Cricetulus griseus: one gene and its partners. The main gene of each other region encodes a partner of the protein of the gene in region 3 in a complex. Links are inferred from orthologs where the notes say so. Each region holds a gene or a part of one and is shown on either strand. Other genes may lie near its edges. The genes, in order: nucleoside diphosphate kinase A, Anp32a and Trex1.

What was found.
Region 1: Trex1 (region 3) and nucleoside diphosphate kinase A share a complex: the UniProt entries of both Homo sapiens proteins name them as parts of the SET complex. The link is inferred for Cricetulus griseus from reciprocal best matches to the Homo sapiens genes TREX1 and NME1.
Region 2: Trex1 (region 3) and Anp32a share a complex: the UniProt entries of both Homo sapiens proteins name them as parts of the SET complex. The link is inferred for Cricetulus griseus from reciprocal best matches to the Homo sapiens genes TREX1 and ANP32A.

What each region holds. Positions count from the first base shown.
Region 1 is NC_048600.1:106,878,336-106,884,749, forward strand, and holds the start of nucleoside diphosphate kinase A, read right to left. Parts: upstream 4,091-6,414; 5' UTR 3,932-4,090; intron 3,282-3,931; exon of another isoform or gene 3,222-3,281; intron 1,363-3,221; exon of another isoform or gene 1,360-1,362; 5' UTR 1,356-1,359; coding exon 1,230-1,355; intron 1-1,229. UniProt on the Homo sapiens protein: Major role in the synthesis of nucleoside triphosphates other than ATP. The ATP gamma phosphate is transferred to the NDP beta phosphate via a ping-pong mechanism, using a phosphorylated active-site intermediate.
Region 2 is NC_048597.1:173,856,388-173,863,041, reverse strand, and holds the start of Anp32a (acidic leucine-rich nuclear phosphoprotein 32 family member A), read right to left. Parts: upstream 3,616-6,654; 5' UTR 3,592-3,615; coding exon 3,538-3,591; intron 3,310-3,537; coding exon of another isoform or gene 3,113-3,309; intron 2,995-3,112; coding exon of another isoform or gene 2,862-2,994; intron 2,244-2,861; exon of another isoform or gene 1,149-2,243; intron 1,138-1,148; coding exon of another isoform or gene 849-1,137; exon of another isoform or gene 480-848; intron 1-479. Other genes in the region: uncharacterized protein LOC113835543, read left to right, coding at 849-1,137, 2,862-2,994, 3,113-3,309, 3,616-3,647. UniProt on the Homo sapiens protein: Multifunctional protein that is involved in the regulation of many processes including tumor suppression, apoptosis, cell cycle progression or transcription. Promotes apoptosis by favouring the activation of caspase-9/CASP9 and allowing apoptosome formation.
Region 3 is NC_048597.1:217,167,212-217,173,105, forward strand, and holds Trex1 (three-prime repair exonuclease 1), read right to left. Parts: upstream 3,611-5,894; 5' UTR 3,275-3,610; coding exon 3,192-3,274; intron 2,914-3,191; coding exon 1,965-2,913; 3' UTR 1,922-1,964; downstream 1-1,921. Other genes in the region: Shisa5 (protein shisa-5), read left to right, coding at 1-95, 262-474, 611-690; Atrip (ATR-interacting protein), read right to left, coding at 3,851-3,918, 4,316-4,565, 4,662-4,742, 5,158-5,249, 5,403-5,539. UniProt on the Homo sapiens protein: Major cellular 3'-to-5' DNA exonuclease which digests single-stranded DNA (ssDNA) and double-stranded DNA (dsDNA) with mismatched 3' termini. Prevents cell-intrinsic initiation of autoimmunity.

The DNA of each region.
Region 1 (6,414 bases), on a different chromosome or scaffold from region 3:
TGAGGCTGAATCCAGCCTGGTCTACAGAGTAAGTGCCAGGACTGCCAGCCAGGACTACATAGAGAAACCCTGTCTTTAAAATAAACAAACAAACAAACAGTGGCTGGAGAGATGGCTCAGTGGTTAAAAGCACTTGCTGCTCTTGCAGAGGCCCTGAGTTTGGTTCTCACACCCATATCAGGTGGCTCACAACAATTTATAACTCCAGTTCCAGGGGTTCTGATACCATCTCCTGGCCTCCACATGCACCTGTACATATATGGTGCGCATTACACACAAACAGGCACACGTACATACTCATAAATACAAATTAAAAAAAAAAAAACAAGAGTGCATCTGAGCACAGTAGTACACACCTTTAATCCCAACACTCTGGAGGCAGAGGCAGCACTCTGTGAGTTAGTGGCTAGCCTGGTCTACAAAGAAGGTTCCAGGCTAGCCAGGGCTATTCAGCTAACTCAAAAACAGCAGCAAAATAATAATGAAATAAAAACTCAACATTGAAAATTAAATTGAACTCAAAATACACTATGAACCAAAAGTGTATTGCTAGAATGGGAAAAAAATATGGTGCCCCCTAATGTATTTGCTTTGAGAACTAGAATTCACATCTCATAGATCTGCTTGAAGAAGAGTTCTTGGCCAATGAATTCTTGGTATTTATTGGAATATTGTTATCTGAGTGGATGATGACTTATGCACAGAACCCCAGGACTCAGAATACTGAGAAAGGAAGATCACCAAGAGTATTAGAATTGTTTCCTTTCTCTGTTCTGTGAGGAGCCCCCACAAGCAAAATTGCAGCTTTCCCTACAAAGCCCCACGTATCATGCCTGACTCATGCTAGGCACTATCAGGTAGTAATTAGTAAAGCAAAGATTTTCTTCCTGACAGCCTATCTTGAAGGCCGTGGGGGTGGAAGGATAGTCTCTAAAATTATCTGTTCAGGAGGCTAGAGACCAAGAGCTCCAAAACACTCACAGAGCTGAGTCAGAAATTACAGATCTGCAGTAATACGTGGAATTCTACAATGTTAGGGGTAAAGACAGACTAGTTTTGAAAGCCCCAAATGACTTGGTTTGTTCCAAGATTCAGCCAACATGCTTGGTCACTGAGAAGACACCCTACCATGGGGAAGTCTAGACAGGAAACAAAGCAAACACAGAAGTTACTCTGCAATATTCTACTATATTCCAAATACCAAAACAGGAAATGTGAGGTCCACTCACCTGCATAAATTTCAGGCCAACAAGTCGGAATCCCTTCTGTTCAAAACGCTTGATGATCTCGCCCACCAGACCCCGCTGGACCCCATCAGGCTTGATAGCAATGAAGGTGCGCTCACTGTTGGCCATGGTCCTGGAGAGATAAGCAGGGAATGAAACAGGACAGAATCTCTACCCTCCCTCATCATGATCCTTCTCAAGCGGATTACTCTCTCATAAAACTGGATTTAATATATTATGTCTACTTTAAGTCTCTCTAGTAAAATCCCAATCCCTGCCCAGTTCACTCATCAATGAATTTTGATCTGAAAGTAGAAAAGGGTTCAAAAGAAGAAATGTAATTTCTAATCTACTTGATTTCATACACTCCTATTGAGCTTCTGTTATGTACTTAATACTGTGATAGAACTAAAAAGGGAGACATAAAACTAAGACACACTAAAAAGATACCAATTTTTTTTTTCTTGTGGTAATACCAGTAAGGGGAAAATGCAATGATATGGTTTTCCTACTGAAAGTTACATCTGATTCAACACAGTATGACCAACAGCATTAGAACCCACAAGAGTTTTAGAGACTATGTCATAACAACCACCTTTGGGGGCTGGAGAGATGGCTCAGAGGTTAAGAGCACTGACTGTTCTTCCAGAGGTCCTGAGTTCAATTCCCAGCAACCACATGGTGGCTCACAACCACCCGTTATGAGATCTGGTTTCCTCTTCTGGTGTGCAGATATACATGGAAGCAGAATGTTGTATACATAATAAATAAAAAATAAAAAAAAAAAACCAACAATCTTCATTCTACAAAGAATAAGATTTCCCAGCCCTATACAGTTTGGGATACTCCCTAAGATGTAATGACTGAGGATGTGTGCCAATAATCCTACCACTAGGAAGGCTAAGGCCAAAGGGCAGAGGATTCCAGGCTGGCCTGGGCAACCTAAAACCCTGACTCAAAAAAGAAAAAAGGGGAATGAAAAGAAAATAGAGCTGAGCGTAGTGGGGAGGTGTGGTAGCCCATGTCAATGATCCCAACCTGAACTGAGCTACATAAGACTCTGTTTCAAGAAACAAGAGAAAAGAGAGAAAAGATGCAATGACTATGCTCCATCACAGAAGGGGAGGGACTCATAGGCCCAAGGCCTTACCCCTGCCTAGGAAGCTAACGGTGATTAACGGCTGTGGGTGAGTGGGTATCATTTTCTTCAGGGATACAGCCATGGGTAAGCTGCTCCAGCAATTAACTCCTCCATCAATGAAGCACGCAATTCTAATTAAACTCAGTCTCCCCCCCAACACACACACACACACACACACACAAAGACATGAAGGTAGGAGGGGACTCACAGGAAAGGAGTTCAACAGGAACAGGAGAGCCAAAGATTGTAATGGAGGAGGGGGATGACTAACTATTACATACATGTATAAAACTGTCAGAGAATAAAAGGACAAGAAAATTGAAGGTCCATTAGTAAGAATAGCAATTAACATTTATTAAACTGTGTACTGGGGGAAAGTGCAATGAGTAGTCAATGAACAGTGGCTTATGGGAGACCCACAGCACAATTCATCATCACTGAGGGAAGACACCTGGAGAGCATCCATTCCAGAACCTTCCATTTCCAGGGAACACAATCCCACAAAATGAAAGAAGACTCCACCTTGAAAGACAATACCTAAGAGGATAGAAACACCAGCTCCTGGACCTGGCTGCCTAAACATGAATTAACCTCTGATTTTATACATTAAGAATGGGGCCTGCGACGGGCGGTGGTGGCGAATGCCTTTAATCCCAGGTTTCGGGAGGCAGAGGCAGGCAGATCTGTGAGTTAGAGACCAGCCTGGTCTACAAGAGCTAGTTCCAGGACAGCCTCCAAAGCCACAGAGAAACCCTGTCTCTAAAAGCCAAAAGTAAAAATAAATAAAATAAAATAAAGAATGGGGCCTGACCCAGCTAGATGGTTCAGTGAGCAAAGGTTTTTGTACCACAAACCTGAGTTTGGTCCCTCGGGCCCATTCCACGAAGTTGTCTTCTGGTGTGTTCACAAGTGTGCTAAGGCATGCATGCACAGGAACATACAATAATACATAATCTTTTAATGATCATTTCTGTTGGTGCCTTCCTCCCCTCTCCCGCCTCTCGGATCTGTGACCTGCATAAAAGAGTTGATCTACTCCAGCCCCTGCTTTGATTCCAAGCCACAGGGCCTGGCAGTCAATAGGAGCAAAGAAGATGCTTTAAAAGGCCAATCATGCCTTCCGAAGACAGACAGAACCCGCAGACAAGCTGGAGAATCTCTGAAGGAATGTGGAACAAGAATAGATCCCTCAGAAACAGCCCCTATGAAAGGCTCTGCACACCGAACACAGACACACAGACACAGACACACACACACAGACACACAGACACACACACGCACACACACACGTGTCATTTATTCAGCAAGCTCTGCGCTCAGCACAGGGCTGGAAGGAGGGTAAGGCACAGCCGTGCCGGCGCAGTCTGACAGGAACTGCGGCCACAGACAAAGGCGAGCCCACGTGTCAGGCTGACAGGTCTGCACCTGTCCACAGTCGAGGCCGCGATCTTCCTCAACGCCTCTCAGAGAATGCACCCCTTTCCCTTCATTTCACACCCACCTCCCTCTCCGCTTACCTAGGCCCTCAACGTTCCCTTTCCCTCAGCACCCGAACCCCTCTCACCCCTTCAGAAGCCAGTCTCTCTCTCCGGCTGCACCGGAAACACGTCCTGGCCTCACGTGGTTTCGAGCAGCGGCTCGCACGGAACCTTTCGGAACAGTTCTGATTCAGGAGAGCCCTTTTGGTGGAACACCGCCAGTCCCCGCTTCCTCCGGTGAGTAGGAGGGCACTCTTTCCAGGGTTTAACTTCCGGCACTGGGTGTGGTTTTTGTTTTTGTCGTGTGTATCCCCCCGCCCCCTCCCCGGCTTTTCCGGCTGGCGGCCATCTTTTGTTCCTGCCCCTACTGTCGTGTAACTCACTTCCTCCGTTCCCGAGACGATTTGGTTGCCCGGGAGGTGGCGCTCACACTGCACGGAATAGAACTAAAGCCCCAGTCACTCCGCTTCTCTTCGCCCTGTCAAGCAGCAAATGTACTAAATACTATGTGCCCAGCAGGCACTGTTCTAGAACCCAGGGATAAAGCAGTAAACTCACTTGAGGTTTCTGGGAGGGTTGAAAATTGGGACAAACAATGAAAAGAAATTGATAGTGAACGCACGGAGTTATGTAAGTGCTGTGAAGAAAGATCAGAGCAGGGAAGAAAAATAAGGTTGAGAAATCGCTGCAGAAGTGAAAATCAAATAGACCTACATGAAGTTTAGTGATAAAGGAGCAAGCCTATTATTAGAGAGCGGAGAATTATAGTAGCCTTGGATGGTAGGAAACTCAGTAGAAGAATTTTTTTATTGTTGTAAGAGGATTTTTTGGTTTCCTGAGACAGAGTTTCTCTGTAGCTTTGGAGGCTATCCTGGCACTCACTCTGTAGACCAGGCTGGCCTCGAACTCACAGAGATCCTCCTGCCTCTACCTCCCGAGTGCTGGGATTAAACCACCAACGCCCCACAAAGCTTTCTCCTCCTATACGTCTTTTGTTTTCTTTTTCGAGACAGGGTCTCTCTGTATTTGCTTTGGAGGTTGTCCTGGAACTTGCTCTGTAGACCAGGCTGGCCTCAAACTCACAGAGATGTAAGAGGATTTTTTTTTAATTATTATTGTTTTGTTTTGTTTTTTCGAGGCAAGGTCTCACTATGTAGACCCAGCTGATCTCTAACTCTTAGAGATCCACCTGTCTATGTCCCCTGTGTACTAGGATTAAAGGCGTCTCATCTGGTATTATTTGTGATTGTTTATGTGTTCATGTGTATGTCTATGTTTGAGGTGGTCAACCCCCCCCATAAGCTCATAGCACTATTAGGAGATATGGCTTTGTTGGAGTGATTAGAGAAAGGGTGTCACTATGGAGGTGGGCTTTGAGGTTTCCTATGCTCAGGATACCCCCCACTACCTGTCAACTTCCTGTTGCCTTCAGATCAAGGTGTAGCCAGCACCAAGTCTGCCTGTACACTACCATGTTCCCTGCCTTGAAGATAATGGACTGAATCTCTGAACTATAAGACACCACCTTAATTAAATCTTTTCCTTTTTAAGAGTTAAAGTGGTCATGGTGTCCCTTCACAGCAATAGAGACCCAAACAAAGATAGAGAGGTGTCAGATCCCCAGGAGCAAGAGTTACAAACAGTTGTGAGTAATCTGATGTGGGTGCTGGGGATCGAACTCTGGTTCTCTGCAATAACAGTAGGTGCTCTATAACCATAAGGAATCTTGTCACCATGCCTAGCCTAGTCCAGCAAGCTTTGGTTTAGCTTTGTTCGGTTGGTTAGTTAGATAGTTAATTGCTGGTTTTGTTTATTTGTGGTTTGTTTGGAAATAGAGCCTCTTGTAGCTCAGACTGACCTCAAATTTATTTTGTAGCTAGCCTATTTCTGTATGTTGACTGTGATGGCAATTGTACACATATAACAAAGTTTCAAGAAATCATAAATGAGCACAGGGAAAACTGTTGAGGGCAGAATTTTTGTGGGTAACAAGAATGACAGTTTTCTGGATTTGTTTATGTTTTGCTTTGGTTTGGTTTGGGTTTTTGTTTTCCTTGTTGTTTGGAGGCAGTTGCTCTATATAGTATTTAATGCACTATGTAGCCCAGGATAGCCCACAACTTACAGAAGTACTACCTTAGCTCCCCAAATTCTGGGATTATAAGCATGAGACACCATGTCCAGCTTAAGTCCTTGGTTTAAGTTTAAGTTTTGTTATTGTTTGTTGTTTGAGACAGTTTCTCTTATAGCCCTGGTTGGCCTCAAAGTTACTAGATAGCCAAAATGACCTTGAACCTCAATCTCACATCTTCCCAAATGCAGGGATTGCAGGTGTCTGCCACACATCCTGCTAATGTGGTGCTAGGGACAGGGCATCCTGGACTATATAAAATGGAGAAAGTGAGCTGAGCACAAGAAAGCATGCCTTCACCGGGTGTTGGTGGCATATGCCTTTAATCCCAGCACTTGGGAGGCAGAGGCAAGCAGATCTCTGTGAGTTCGAGGCCAGCCTGGTCTCCAGAGCAAGTGCTAGGATAGGCTCCAAAGCCACACAGAAACCCTGTCTCGA
Region 2 (6,654 bases), about 43 Mb from region 3:
AGGAAAGTCCTATTCTCTTTCGGTTTAGGGTGGAGGTTTACTTTGTAGTTAGCTACCTTCCCCGCCAAAACAAAAAGGAAAAAAGGAGAGGGGGGCAAAGGATAAATAGCGAGAGAGCTCCCCCAACCTGCAGGGTGCTGGACACCCACCTGAAACTCGACCAACCTTTCTAGGGAGCCCAGCCCCGGAGGGCGTTTCCCCAACGCATCCCGACAACTCGTCCCTCCCGGGTAGGAGGCCGACGCCCTCGACTTCAGTTAGGGCCACCAGACTGGCGAGCTTGAGCCCCCCTCCCGCCCTCCAGTTTCACCCCCACCCCCCAAACACCACCCCATCATTTCCGCCGAAGGCGCAAACACCAGAGCGATCGTTTCGCCTTCAAGGCCACCTTTCACTACGTGCAGAGCGCAGCGGGAGCCACGGCGGAAAACCGAGCGCGGGGGGGGGGGGGGTTGGAGGCAGGGAGCCAAGGCGGCGGCGGCGGGGGGCGGGGGGGGGCACGGGACAGGACTGGCTAAGGAGATCGTCACCTTCTCAGGGCTGCGATACCCTCGGGATCCTCAGACCCCGGGCGCAGGGTGGGGGCCCCCATAAGGCCAAACGCAAAAGTGGGGTGGGGTGTCCCTGGGGACAGTTCCCCCAGAAGCCACCTCGCTGGAGGGCGGCCGTCGGGGCGATGGCGCAAGCCTTTCGCCCCCCCCCCCCAGCGCGACAACAGACACGGTGACAAAATGGCAGCTCGGCGCCCAGCAGGCGAGCCACCGGCATAGAGCCGGGGCCGGCCGTCTCTGTACCCCGAGAATGCCAGGCACCCTGGGGCTGGGTCTCCCGCCGGCCTAGCAGTGCAAATGGCGAGGACAGACAGGGGTCTGCAGGTCCGAGCAGGTCGAGGGCCCCTGGCCCGCCGCGCTCTCTTCAGACCCGATCCCCAGGCCGGCGCCGCCGGGCTTCTGCTGCGCCTGTGCGCGCCCGGATCCCCTCCGCTGGGGCACCCGGGTCCCCGCCGAGTCGGGTCCGCGGCCGCCGTGGGGGAGGGGCGGGCCGCCGGCGCCCCGGGAAACATGGCTGCTCGTCCTAGTTCAGCGGCGTCGCGGCCACCAGTCCCCGAGATGCGACTTGGGAGAGAGGTAGCAGAAGGTGGGTGCGTGGGGGATACTCTGGGGAGGGAGGTTCCCCGGAACGATCTGCTTTCCAAAAACGTTTATTTGAAAAAACAAAAAACCAGAAAAACAACAACAAAAAAAGCCAGTTCCTCCTCCCCCACCCCTTTTGTCCCTCTTTCGAGAGCTTTCTGCCCTCCCCTCCCCCATGTGCAGCAAGTGCCCCCTCCCCCGCCACCCGCGCGCCCCACCCCGCCAGGAGCCCCGGGGCCGGCGAGTGGGCCGGGGACTCGAGGCGAGGGGGCGAAGCGTGAGAAATCGCGCCCAGCCCGGAGCGCCCGCCCCTCCCCCAGTGCACACACTCGGGGAAGTTTAAAGAGCCGGTTCGACCCGCTTTCTGATTCGCTCCGGGTTGGCTAGTACTGTGGGTCTCTCGGCCCGGCCCGGCCCGGCGCTTATGCGCACTTACTCGCCGAGACCCCGAAGCCCCCCAACTACATACAGGGGTCTTCCGGAAAGTACGCGGGAAGCCCGCCTTCGGCCCCCTCCCCCAGCACCACACCCAGCCCCCTCCACCTCCGGGATCGGGCACCGGGGCTGGGTCGGGACGCCACCGGCCGTGCCCCGCGGCAGGACTTGCTGCCGGCGGCGCCCCCTCCTCTCCGCCCTGCGCGCCATAAGGCTGTAGCACGTCTCCAGTGCACAACTGCGTGAGGATGGGCGGACGGCAGAAAGGAGCTTGTTTTCAAAAGTCTTACTCAGGTTTGGAGGGAGGAACTAGGGGAAAAGAGGAAACGAGGCCTGCCTTTGTCAGGATTCGAGGGGCCAAGTGGCTGGCGGGGCGACAGGGTCAGTGCAACGTGCTGCGCGAGCCCCCCAACTCGCCCGAACCCCGAACACCCAGGCTGGACCTAGAGGATCTTCCCGCCCGCGAGCCCCTTCTCCTCACGACCGGACCTTGAAGGGAAGCCGGCCGGGGTTTCCACCCCAGAGCTTAGGGTCTCTCGGATGGACCAACTCGCAGACAACACGAGTGTGTGAAAGCGAGAGGGAGACAAAAATAAACAGTAGCGTTCGAGTCACCCACCCACCCTCACTTCCCATTGCAGTGGGCTAGCGCCCAGCCTGCCTATTCCCACCGGTGTAAGTTTCCTCCTGCCATACTCCCGCCGCTACCCAATCCATAACGGCTACGGCCAGACGAACTGCCCATTCCAGAGCTGCGTGCCAGCCGTGCCCGCAAGAATGTAGACCCGGCCGGTCCCCAAAGCAGCACCAGCTCTGGGCACCTCGGGTCCTGATAAAGTTTCCCGTGCCCATTTATTAATCAGGCGCCGAATGGCTGCCAGGGAGCCCACCCCGGGAGAAGCAGGGACCCGGAGGTGGGGTAACTGGTGCCGTTGGGGTATCAGGGTGCCAAGGCTTGCATCTGGGGAGGTAGCCGGGGGCCAGAGGCTCACCGGGACGCAGCCTTTGGGCAACTTACACTAGCGATCGCTCGTGGTTGGGGAGGCGTGAGGATTATCTGAGCATTTGCACACTCCACAATCCCTCCCCCTCCTTCTAAGGTAACCCCCCCCCTTTCCGCGAAGAAGAAGGGAGAAAAGACAGCATCTGGCCCAAAGGTGGGGTGGAAAGAGTGAGAGAGAAAGGAGAAGAAGGAAGGCAGGCAGAGAAAGAGAGGGAGGGAGAGAAAGGGCGCGTTCACGAACACGACAAAGTTACAAATATGGCTCCCCACCTCTCGCCTCATCCCCGCAGAGAAACGAAGACGCGCTTTAAACTCGAGCCATCTCCCAACTCCGCAGCAGCCGGGTCCCCACGCGCTGTCCCCGGGGGCCTCGGGCCACATTGATCAGAAACTAAACCGGACTCGCGATTCCCAAAACTTATTGTGTGCGAGAGAACCAGCGAGCGAAAGAGACGGCAAAGGGAGGGGGCAGGCGCGAGAGGGGGCGGAAAGGGGGGTACGTTTCTAAAATATAACACCCCCTTTTTGTTGTTTAATCCAGGAGGCAGCCCATCTTCTCCTCCCCTCAATCATCTTTTCCATCCAGACGCGAGTCGTGGGAGCTGAGAGCTCGGACGAGGGTGAGATCGCAGCGTTCCCTCCGACCCGAACGCGTGCGCCCCGCCGGCCCCCCGCTGGGTGCACATTCGTACGCACACCCTCGCACCCATACCCGCACACGCGGGAGCACACGCACAGGTAGTCAGTCACACACCAAGGGCAGCGGCAGCGGTGGCCAGAACATGCTCCGATGGCATTGCAACCCCCCCCCCATCCAACCTTGCAATTCATTTGCAGTCCAACCCTAAACCCTACACCTCCTCGGAGCCCACCTCCATAAAAAAGTGCCTTCCCCCCCAAAACACACGCACACATAACACAAAGTAGGAGAATGGACCGACAGAGATATTTTTGGCAAATGCTCACATCAGAGGGCGTCCTGTTCCGCAGCTCTAAATGAATCCGTTTGTCCATATCCATCTCTCGCGCTCTCTCTCTCTGCAGAGGATCCTGCGCCAGCGGAATTCAATCAATAAACCCCGAACCCACGGCCGCGCGTTTTAGGACTTTGAAGGCTCAACCAGCTCCGCTCGGTTCTCGAGCCCCCAGCACCCGCGGCGCACACTAACCTGATCGCCGTGGAGGCGGAACCTACGGCTCCGGCGTGGAGTGGCGGCAGCACGAACCAATCGAGTGGCGAGGCTTCTGATGCCAGCCAATAGTGGTGGCGGCGGCGGGGGGCAGGGTCCAATGGGCGGCCTGCGCAGCGGGCCAGGGAGGCTCAGCCATTTGGCTGTGGTGCCGGAGACGGACCCCTTTAGATACCCGGGCGACCGAGGAGGAGCGCGGCTGCCGCTTTGGTGGCTGCGCGCGGGGGGCGGGAGGGAAGGCAGGGCAGGTGCGTGGACCTGAAGGTTCGTGGCCGGGGCGGGGCCGCAGGTGCGTGGACGCGGGAGGGGCGGGGTCCTCACGGGGGCATCCTCTGGGTGCTTAGCGGGCAGACGAGGCCTGGGGCGCGCGGGCGCAGGGCAGGCCTAGGGAGGGCGTGCGTTCTGGGGGCGCACGAAGGACAGATCACACCCCGGGCTGCCTGCTCGACGCATCCCTTCGGACTAGATCTTCTCCCATCCCGCAATTAAATAAGCAAGTCTAAGCGCATGATGTTCCTACCGTCTGAGGAGCGAGGGCGGGATCTCGACCCAGAAGCTTGGCATTCTGATCTCCTGCCAGGGCAGCCTTACAAGAGGCGATTCCCCGAGAGCCACTGGAGATCTTGTGTAGGGCAATAAATGAATGAAAAGGCTGCGGATGCAGAGCTGTATACAATATTAGGAAATGCGAAAGGTGCTAGTAACTGCCGATTCGCAGAGCCGAACATAATTTACGGGTTTTATAGGTTTTGTTGAGAGCGTCGCACGATTTCTTTCTCATCGTCCACCAGTCGTTTGGTTAGATCTGAGTTGCCAAGGAGTCGCTAACTGTAGCATTTATCCAGGTGTTTCGGTTGCTTTGGGTTTTGTTTTTGTTCGAGCAAGTTACGTTTTTAATAGACCTTAAAAGCCCCGGTTCCCACTGGGTTATCAGCTTCTTATGAGCCACCCTGGGACCTCATGTACAGCGTGGATATCTGTGGCTGTGGACAAATCACGGGGATGACTGTCAACAGGGACTCATGTTTAACTTCATCCACACAACTATCATAGTATCCTTTTCTCTTGTTTCTTCTTCCTCTATCGTAAACACCCCAAGGTAGTTTTATCTTTTTCGCATACATTGGAACTGAGCATTTTATTCAGTAAATTCTTTTAGATCAAATAATAGTTGAACTTGGAAGCCGATAAATGTTTATTCTAAGTAACTGGAAGTACAAAATAAAAACATGACATCTGGGTGAATATGGCATAATTTCTTTAAGTTGTCCATTTAACATATCCTTAGATTTTGTTAATTTTTATGAAGGCCGTGTAACTGGAATTTTTCAATTGTATTGGTTCCTTTTTAAAACACAGGGGACTGCAAATTACCTCTTTGCCATTGAATCAGTTTTATTTCTGTATATGATAGTTAATGTTTTCAAAACAATAGTTTTAGCCGGGTGTTGATGGCACACGCCTTTAATCCCAGCACTCCGGAGGCAGAGGCAGGCGGATCTCTTGAGTTCGAGGCCAGCCTGATCTCCAGAGCGAGTGCCAGGATAGGCTCCAAAGCTGCACAGAGAAACCCTGTCTCCAAAAAACCAAAAAACAAAACAAAACAAAACAATAGTTTTACTTCACAAGTATATTAAGAGGGGATGGTGTGCAGAATCTATACAACAGGAGTCTTGAATTTCATGCTCTTTGGAATGGTAAATGCTCATTCACCACTTAAACCCTGGACCACACTTGAGGTCCCTGCTAACAGCAGTGTTGTGGGAGAGTCCTTTCCACAGGAAAGGTGCCCCTTTCTATCTCTGCTAAGTAGACCAAACAGCCCACTTGACAGAGACAGAAGAGAACTACTTGGGATCGCAACCCCACCCCCATAACCACTCCACATATACACCCTTAATGGAGAATATACAGAAACAAAATTATGAAAAGGCAGGCATTTCATATGATCTGAAGAGAAACCAGAATACTAGAGACTAAATGAGGATGGGAAAAAAAAATGGTGACCTCATCACTGAAAGTGTTAAATATAACTTGGTTTTGGAGCACCTTAACTTTACAGTTTTTGAATAACTGCTTTTGTATTTAGTGTCACAAAACTAGAAGATGGCTTTCTCTGGATGTCAGTCAGTATAGAAGCTCAAAAATCAAAGCACTTTGAGTATTGCCACCTGCTAGTGCCTGCTGAAGGAAGAAAGTTCCTTTGGCTTGTAGTTTATCTACAAAGTTTTAATAGGACTTTGGTGGTTAATAGGACTTCCATGGTTCAATAGGACAGCTCAGACATTTGCCCTGTAAGACTTGGGTATATATCCACACATGTGAATGTGTGCAATTATTATTTACAGGGTTATTATAGTTTTATTGTGTATTATAGTAGTAGTGCTGCTCTGCATCAATCTGCATTTCAGGAAGGCAGTGAGAGAAGGCTTCCTGTGGCTTCTTGGAGGAACTTTTATATGGATAGGGAACAGGTGCTGTCCCTCCTTACAGAGGGAACCAGCAGCAGGCGTTGATTGGGTGATGAGGGATAGGCAGTCTGCAACAGGGTTTGTGTTCTGCTGAGAATTGATGAGATGCAAATCAAGTTTTGAGCCCTTATAGAAAGGGGTGGCCGTCAAATAAGAAGGGCACCTTCCTCCAAGGAAGCCATCAAGAAGCAACCCAAACTAATGAGCAGCCACTTCTCAAAGATAAGAGCAAATGGCTGTCCCCACCACCCTGCTTTTGTTGTTTTGTTTTTTGTTTTTCCAGACAACGTTTCTCTGTGTAGCTTTGGAGCCTATCCTGGCACTCGCTCTGTAGACCAGGATGGCCTCAAACTCACAGAGATCCACCTGCCTCTGCCTCCCCAGTGCTGGGATTAAAGGCGTGCGTCACCAATGCCCGGCGC
Region 3 (5,894 bases):
TGGCCTGACAATCGTTGTGGTGTTCATCGCCACCATCGTCATATGCTGTACCTGCTCCTGCTGCTGTCTGTATAAGATGTGCCGCCGACCACGCCGTAAGCTTGCCCTTCCCCACCTTGCCTGCCTGTGCCCCTCCCTGTATGAACTTGCCAAGCCCAGAGACCTGACCAGAACCCTGTTTTGGCTAAGCTGGAGGGATGGAGGGGGCAGGCCTGGCCTAGGGAGTCATAAGGTTTTGACTAATCAGGACTCTCTTTGCAGCTATAGTGACCAACACCACAACCACCACCGTGGTTCATACCCCTTACCCTCAGCCTCCAAGTGTGGCGCCCAGCTACCCTGGACCAACATACCAGGGCTACCACCCCATGCCCCCCCAGCCAGGAGTGCCAGCAGCACCCTACCCGACACAGTACCCACCGCCCTACCTGGCCCAGCCCGTGGGACCACCAGCCTACCATGAGACCTTGGCTGGTGAGTACCACTGTGGGTACCCTGCATGGTCCCCAACTCAAGTCTCTGTTCCTAGGGTCCCTTCCTGCTAACTTGCATCCCATCTATACTGCAGCCCAATGTCCCCACAGCTAACCTATGTCCTCTTTACTTTCAGGAGGTTCATCTGCACCCTACTCTGCCAGTCAGCCTCCATACAATCCGGCCTACATGGACCCCCCAAAGGCAGTTCCCTGAGCCTGCCCCCGCCTCTTTGGCTGCCATTTGATTGTCATGTGTGAGTGAGTGGCATGCAGTTCTTTACTGCTCTCTGGGGTGTATGTGCCTTGTCTAACCCTGTGACTCCTGATGCTGACCAGGTAGGCACAAACCCTTACCAGTGTGGCTTGGGACCAACCTGTTTTCTTCCTCACTTGAATTATACTTTCTGAAATCTCAAGTAAATTAGAAACATTGGGGTAGGAGGTATTTCCCAGTTCACCCCAAGGTGACCAGCCATGGCCTGTCACACTTAGGAGAGTAAGCTTTTTGTGGGCACATGTCCTGCTCTGGGGAGTAACCAGCTAGCTGCTGGTCAGGGCCATGGCTTGTCCCCAGGGGTTGGCTGCATTTTGCAGTGAGGCAGGTAGGTGGGCAGAACAAGGGGCCTGGCTGAAGCTCAGTGTCGTGCGTGGGTCAGCTCCCAATGTTAAAGCACACCAGACAGCCTCATCTACTCACCATCAGTTGTCTGGACTGTCCCGGTGGCTTTCCTAGGACTATGTGGAGGGCTACATGCACTCAGCATTCAGGCTTCAGTGAGGAAGTTTTTCTACCTTTGCTGCCTGGCTCCTGCCACTAGGCAAGGGGCCTCTGTCTACCATGGCTTGTTTCTACTTGCACTGCCTTGTTTTACTTTTAGCCAAACATTTTGCCTGTTTTCTGCCTCGAGATGTGCTAGTTGGTGTGAGGTTGAAATCCCTGGTTCCTGGAGGATAACCTGGCCTCTGATAATCTGTTTCCCTTGACACCAGCTTCATAGAATACCTGACTCCTGTATAGCACCAGAGATGCCAGGGCCAAGGGGCTATCTGGACCAAAGGTGGGGTGGAGGGCATAGACGGGAGCTCTGGCCCAGACATGAATACTTTACCTCGGTGTTCCCTGTGGATTGCTGTTCCAATAGCTGTCCTAGCTCTGTGTCTGTTGTGTATTTTGGAGCATCCAGGCTCTGTACCTTTGTTTATAATAAATGCAAACATTTGGGCCTACTTCCTCTTTCTTCAGAGCCTGGGCTGCTAGCCTCGGCTATATCACCAAATACTGTTTTTATCTGTCTCTTGAACTTGGTTTCCCCTACTTTTATTAGCCAGGTAGGTTTGATTATCCTGCTAAGACAGCAAGGGGCTGAAGCTGGGCCTCGCTCGTCCCCAGGGCCCTGAATGTGGGCAGAGGCCCAGGCTGTGAAGAAGTGGAGGCAGCAAGTACCTGTCAGTGCTGTGGGGGTCTTTATTAGTCAGATTTTCCTTGGTTTATTGCCCAGGTGAGGCCAAGAAGAATCCATACAGCATGGCTACCGCCAAGGTCAGGAAGGCCAGCAGGCTCAGTGGGGCCAGCAGCTCCTCTGATGGGGTTTCTGGGACCTTTGCTGGAGGAAGATTCTTGGGTTGCCTGCTCCTGCCATGGCTGGGACTTGTGTTGGTTGTGGTCAGGGATGTAGTGGTTGTGGCAGCATATGGCCTTGGCTTGGTTGTTCCAGCAGTAGCTGCAATATCATACATGGGTTTGATGGTGCTAAAGGGCCGGGCATGTTTATCCACCCACTGCAAGAGGGCCCGTGGCTTCCACTGACAGATGCTGAGCAGGGCTAGAACATCACCTTCAGCAGTGTGTGAGTCTGTTGGTGCTTGCCCATACAGGCGGGTATAGATGCTGCCCAGGCTGTAGCTCTTCCTTGGACCACGCTCTGAGGAGCTGCTAGCTTGTTCCAAGGCCTTTAGGGCAGCAATGCTATCTACACAGAAGGTACCATCTAGAGGACTTCTAATGGTCAGCATAGCAAGCTCTGCCTGGAGCAGGGGAAAGTCGTAACGGTCACCATTGTGTGCCACAAGGCAGCAGGGCTGTGGCTGGCGCTGCAGGAAGGCTTGGAGCAGGTTGGCCAAGCTGTCATCAAAGGGTTGCCGTCCATTTGCTTCCAGTTCAGCTGTGTTCAGACCTGTGATCTCACTGGCTGCAGGGCTACAGGCTTTCCCTGGAGCAATGCATAGAGAGAGCTTGTCCACCACACGGGGTGGTTTGGGCACTGGAGGTGGCTGTCCCGCAGAGATGGAGGTGTTTTCCAGGGCACATCTATGGACAGCCAGCAGACACAGCTCTGTGATCTTGGGCTGAGAAAAAGGCAGGCCAGTGGCTTCCAAGTCCAAGAAGATGAGGGTCTGCATGGGACCGAGGGGCAGAGCCTGTGAGCCCATGCTGAGCCTGGGAAGGAGCATGGGGTAGATGAGTGCCAGCAGAGTCTACAGTGGGCCAGGACAGGGATAGGGTGTGGGCAGAAGCACAGCTCAGGCCTTCCCTTCAGTCAGGCACTATCCAGGGCCCATTTTCAGAGCAGGGGCTAGAAGACAGGGTTGTTTTCCTAGTGGGCTGGGCATACTACTATCCTTTTGAGGCAGGAGCCCTTCCCCTAGTGCTGACCACCCTCAGGGTGAGGGAAACCTTTTCTTTTCTTACCCCATATCCTTAAGGTCCACACTTACCGAGAAGCAGGCAGCAAGGCACTGTGTTGGTTCTGCTGCTGGCAGCAGTGGCTCAGGAAGTGAAACTGCCTGGGTCTGCCCATAGGCCTGCCTTCTGAACAAGGCCCGCCCAGCTAGTCATCCCAGGCCTGGCCCTCACATGCTAAAGCCCTCCCTCTCTCTCCAAATACCCCAAAGGCCTTAGATCCATAGCTGTGATCCCAGTTGGCTGATAAAACAAGACTAGTGCTGCCACACTGACAACGCTCTTAACCTTTGCTTGTCTCCAGGGTTCAAACACTCCTGCAAACCTCTACCATGGCTTTCCTTGCCTTTCCTAGTCCTTGGGCCACTTTCCCAGGCCTTCCTAGGGAAGGGCTGCCTTCTCTGCTACACACAAAGTTTTTCCCATGGCTCCAGCCCAAAGCTATGACTCAGGGCAATTCCCGAAGAGGGGTAGGGCATTTCCTCAAGGCAGATTAGTTACCATGGGGACCATCTCAACTCCAGTAAGGGGAGGGAGGTAGTTCCTAGTCTTCTCTGTCCCTCGCTCTCAGTCACACAAACTAGACTCAGGAAACAAAGCTGTTGTTCTCAGCAGGAACTGCAGTTTTAATCAGTGGATATGGCAAAGACAGTGGTGGGAGCTGGTGCCACCTTGTGGCCGGCTGCTCAGGCCGTCAGCTACAGTCCATTTCAGAGTCTTCCAAATCTGTCTCCGCAGCACAGAGGTCATCCAGGGCTGCCTCTGAACCAAAAGGAAGAGGGTTCTGAGGTTAAGCCTGATAGTGCTGAGGCTTGGAGGTCTACCCATCCTCCCCTAGCAGCACAGGAACTAACCAGTCCCTTCCATGCCCAAGCTTTGCTCCCTCAGCTACTGTGAGCAAAAGTGATACAAAAGCAATTCAGACAGATATATTCTGGAAAAACCATGGCTCAGCTAGGCCAATTCAATGGACATGATCAAAGGACAACCTAGTATACTCAAAGAACCAGAGCAGGAAGGTAATGTCCACAGTGCCAGAAAAATGGCTCTGGTGGTGGTGGTGGGGGGGGGCACTGAGGCCTAGCAAAGGAACTTGCCATCTCATGAGCCTCAGGCAGAGGCTCATAAAGGCTCGGGCAGGGTCCTCTTGCTGGCTTACCTTCACAATCGGCTACATCAGGAAGGGCTCGAATCAGCATGCTGACCCCTGGCATCACCTGGTCATACTGATGCAGGACCTCCACACAATGCACAGTAAAGAACTTGTCCTTCTGAGACAGGCTATGCAGCAGCAGCACAGTGTCCCTCAGACAGCGCATCGTCTGCTTCTGCTGGGGGGTCCTTGGACCCCCTGCCCGCCGCACAGTCAGCCATTGTCTGTGCAACATCACAGTGAGCACTCTGACTGCCTGGGGTGAGAGAGGGCACAGACCGAGGTCTAAGGACTCACTCAGCCTAGCCACTTACCCAACTGAGCTGGCATGTTGCGGCCCCTGGCCACTCACCTCTACGTTGCATTGGCAGTCAGAACCAATGCCTGGCAGGGAAGGACTCTGCACACTCAGCTTGGCCAAAAGCCATACCACCTGGAATGAGAAGAGATGGCTTGTCACTTGCAGAACCCGACACTTGTCACCAGGGCTTTCTCGGGCATTTCTAAGAAGCTCTAGCTACTTCTCCAGCTGTTTGCTTACACAAGTGGGGGCTGAGTAGTGGTGGTTCGAGGCTTTCAGACCCGAATCTCATCAATAGCTTACCTACTTCTGGGGCCAGGATCAGGCCCCCCAAACCAGGCAGCAGCATCAGGCAACTCTGCTGAGTCCATTGTAATCCTGGGTACATTTGTATTGTATCTGTGTGAGGAACCCCTAAATCTTACCTGTTGTGGTTCGACAAACTAATCAAAATCAAGTGTAGCTCCTGTTTTCCCACAGGAGGAAAGACCCTGGGCTCTTAGGAAGGGGGTGAGGGGTGCACAGTCTCTCGGTCTCCCCATCTTACCTCTTGTTCCAGCTGAAGCCACTGTGTCTCTGAGGCCACTTTGTCAGGCCTTGACGTAATGTACATGTACAGCCTCAGGAGAAGGCAGCCTTCTGAAAAGGATGCCCAGCCTTACTCAGCATCTCCCTTTTCACTGGAGCCTGGGGTCCAAGTGCAGAAGCCCCCCGAGAGGCTCTGAACCTGTCCCTGCGCCAAACCCTCCCTTCCATGACAGGATAGTTGAGAGCCAGCCTGGCCTGCTTTACCTGAGTGGAAGCACAGCTGCTGTGCAAAGCTGTCATGGTCCACCAGAAGGGAGAGCAGCTCAACAGCCAGTAGCACACACGGCAGTGGCAGCTCTGAGCTGAGGCACTGTGGCAACATCGGCAACACACAGGAGAACCTGAAGGATGGGCACAGTTACGACACTCTGCAAAAGGACACTTAATGCAGTCAGACAAGGGTTTAAATGCTGGCCTGACCATGGCCTATTGCTTCAAGATTGTCACAGGTAGACAGGTATTAACCTTTACAAGACTGCTGTGACTTAAAAATAACAGGCCCTCAGTGGGGGTGGGGGGTACATGCCCATAATCTCAGCACTTGGGAGTCAGAGGCAGGATCCACCACACAATGAGTTAGAGATGAGCCTAGGCTACATGCAATCAAGCCTCACCAGCATATCACAACCCCTCATTCACCCTAAAAAAAGACAGGCCCTTACGTAGCTTTGTATGAAATAAATGGGACAGGACTCC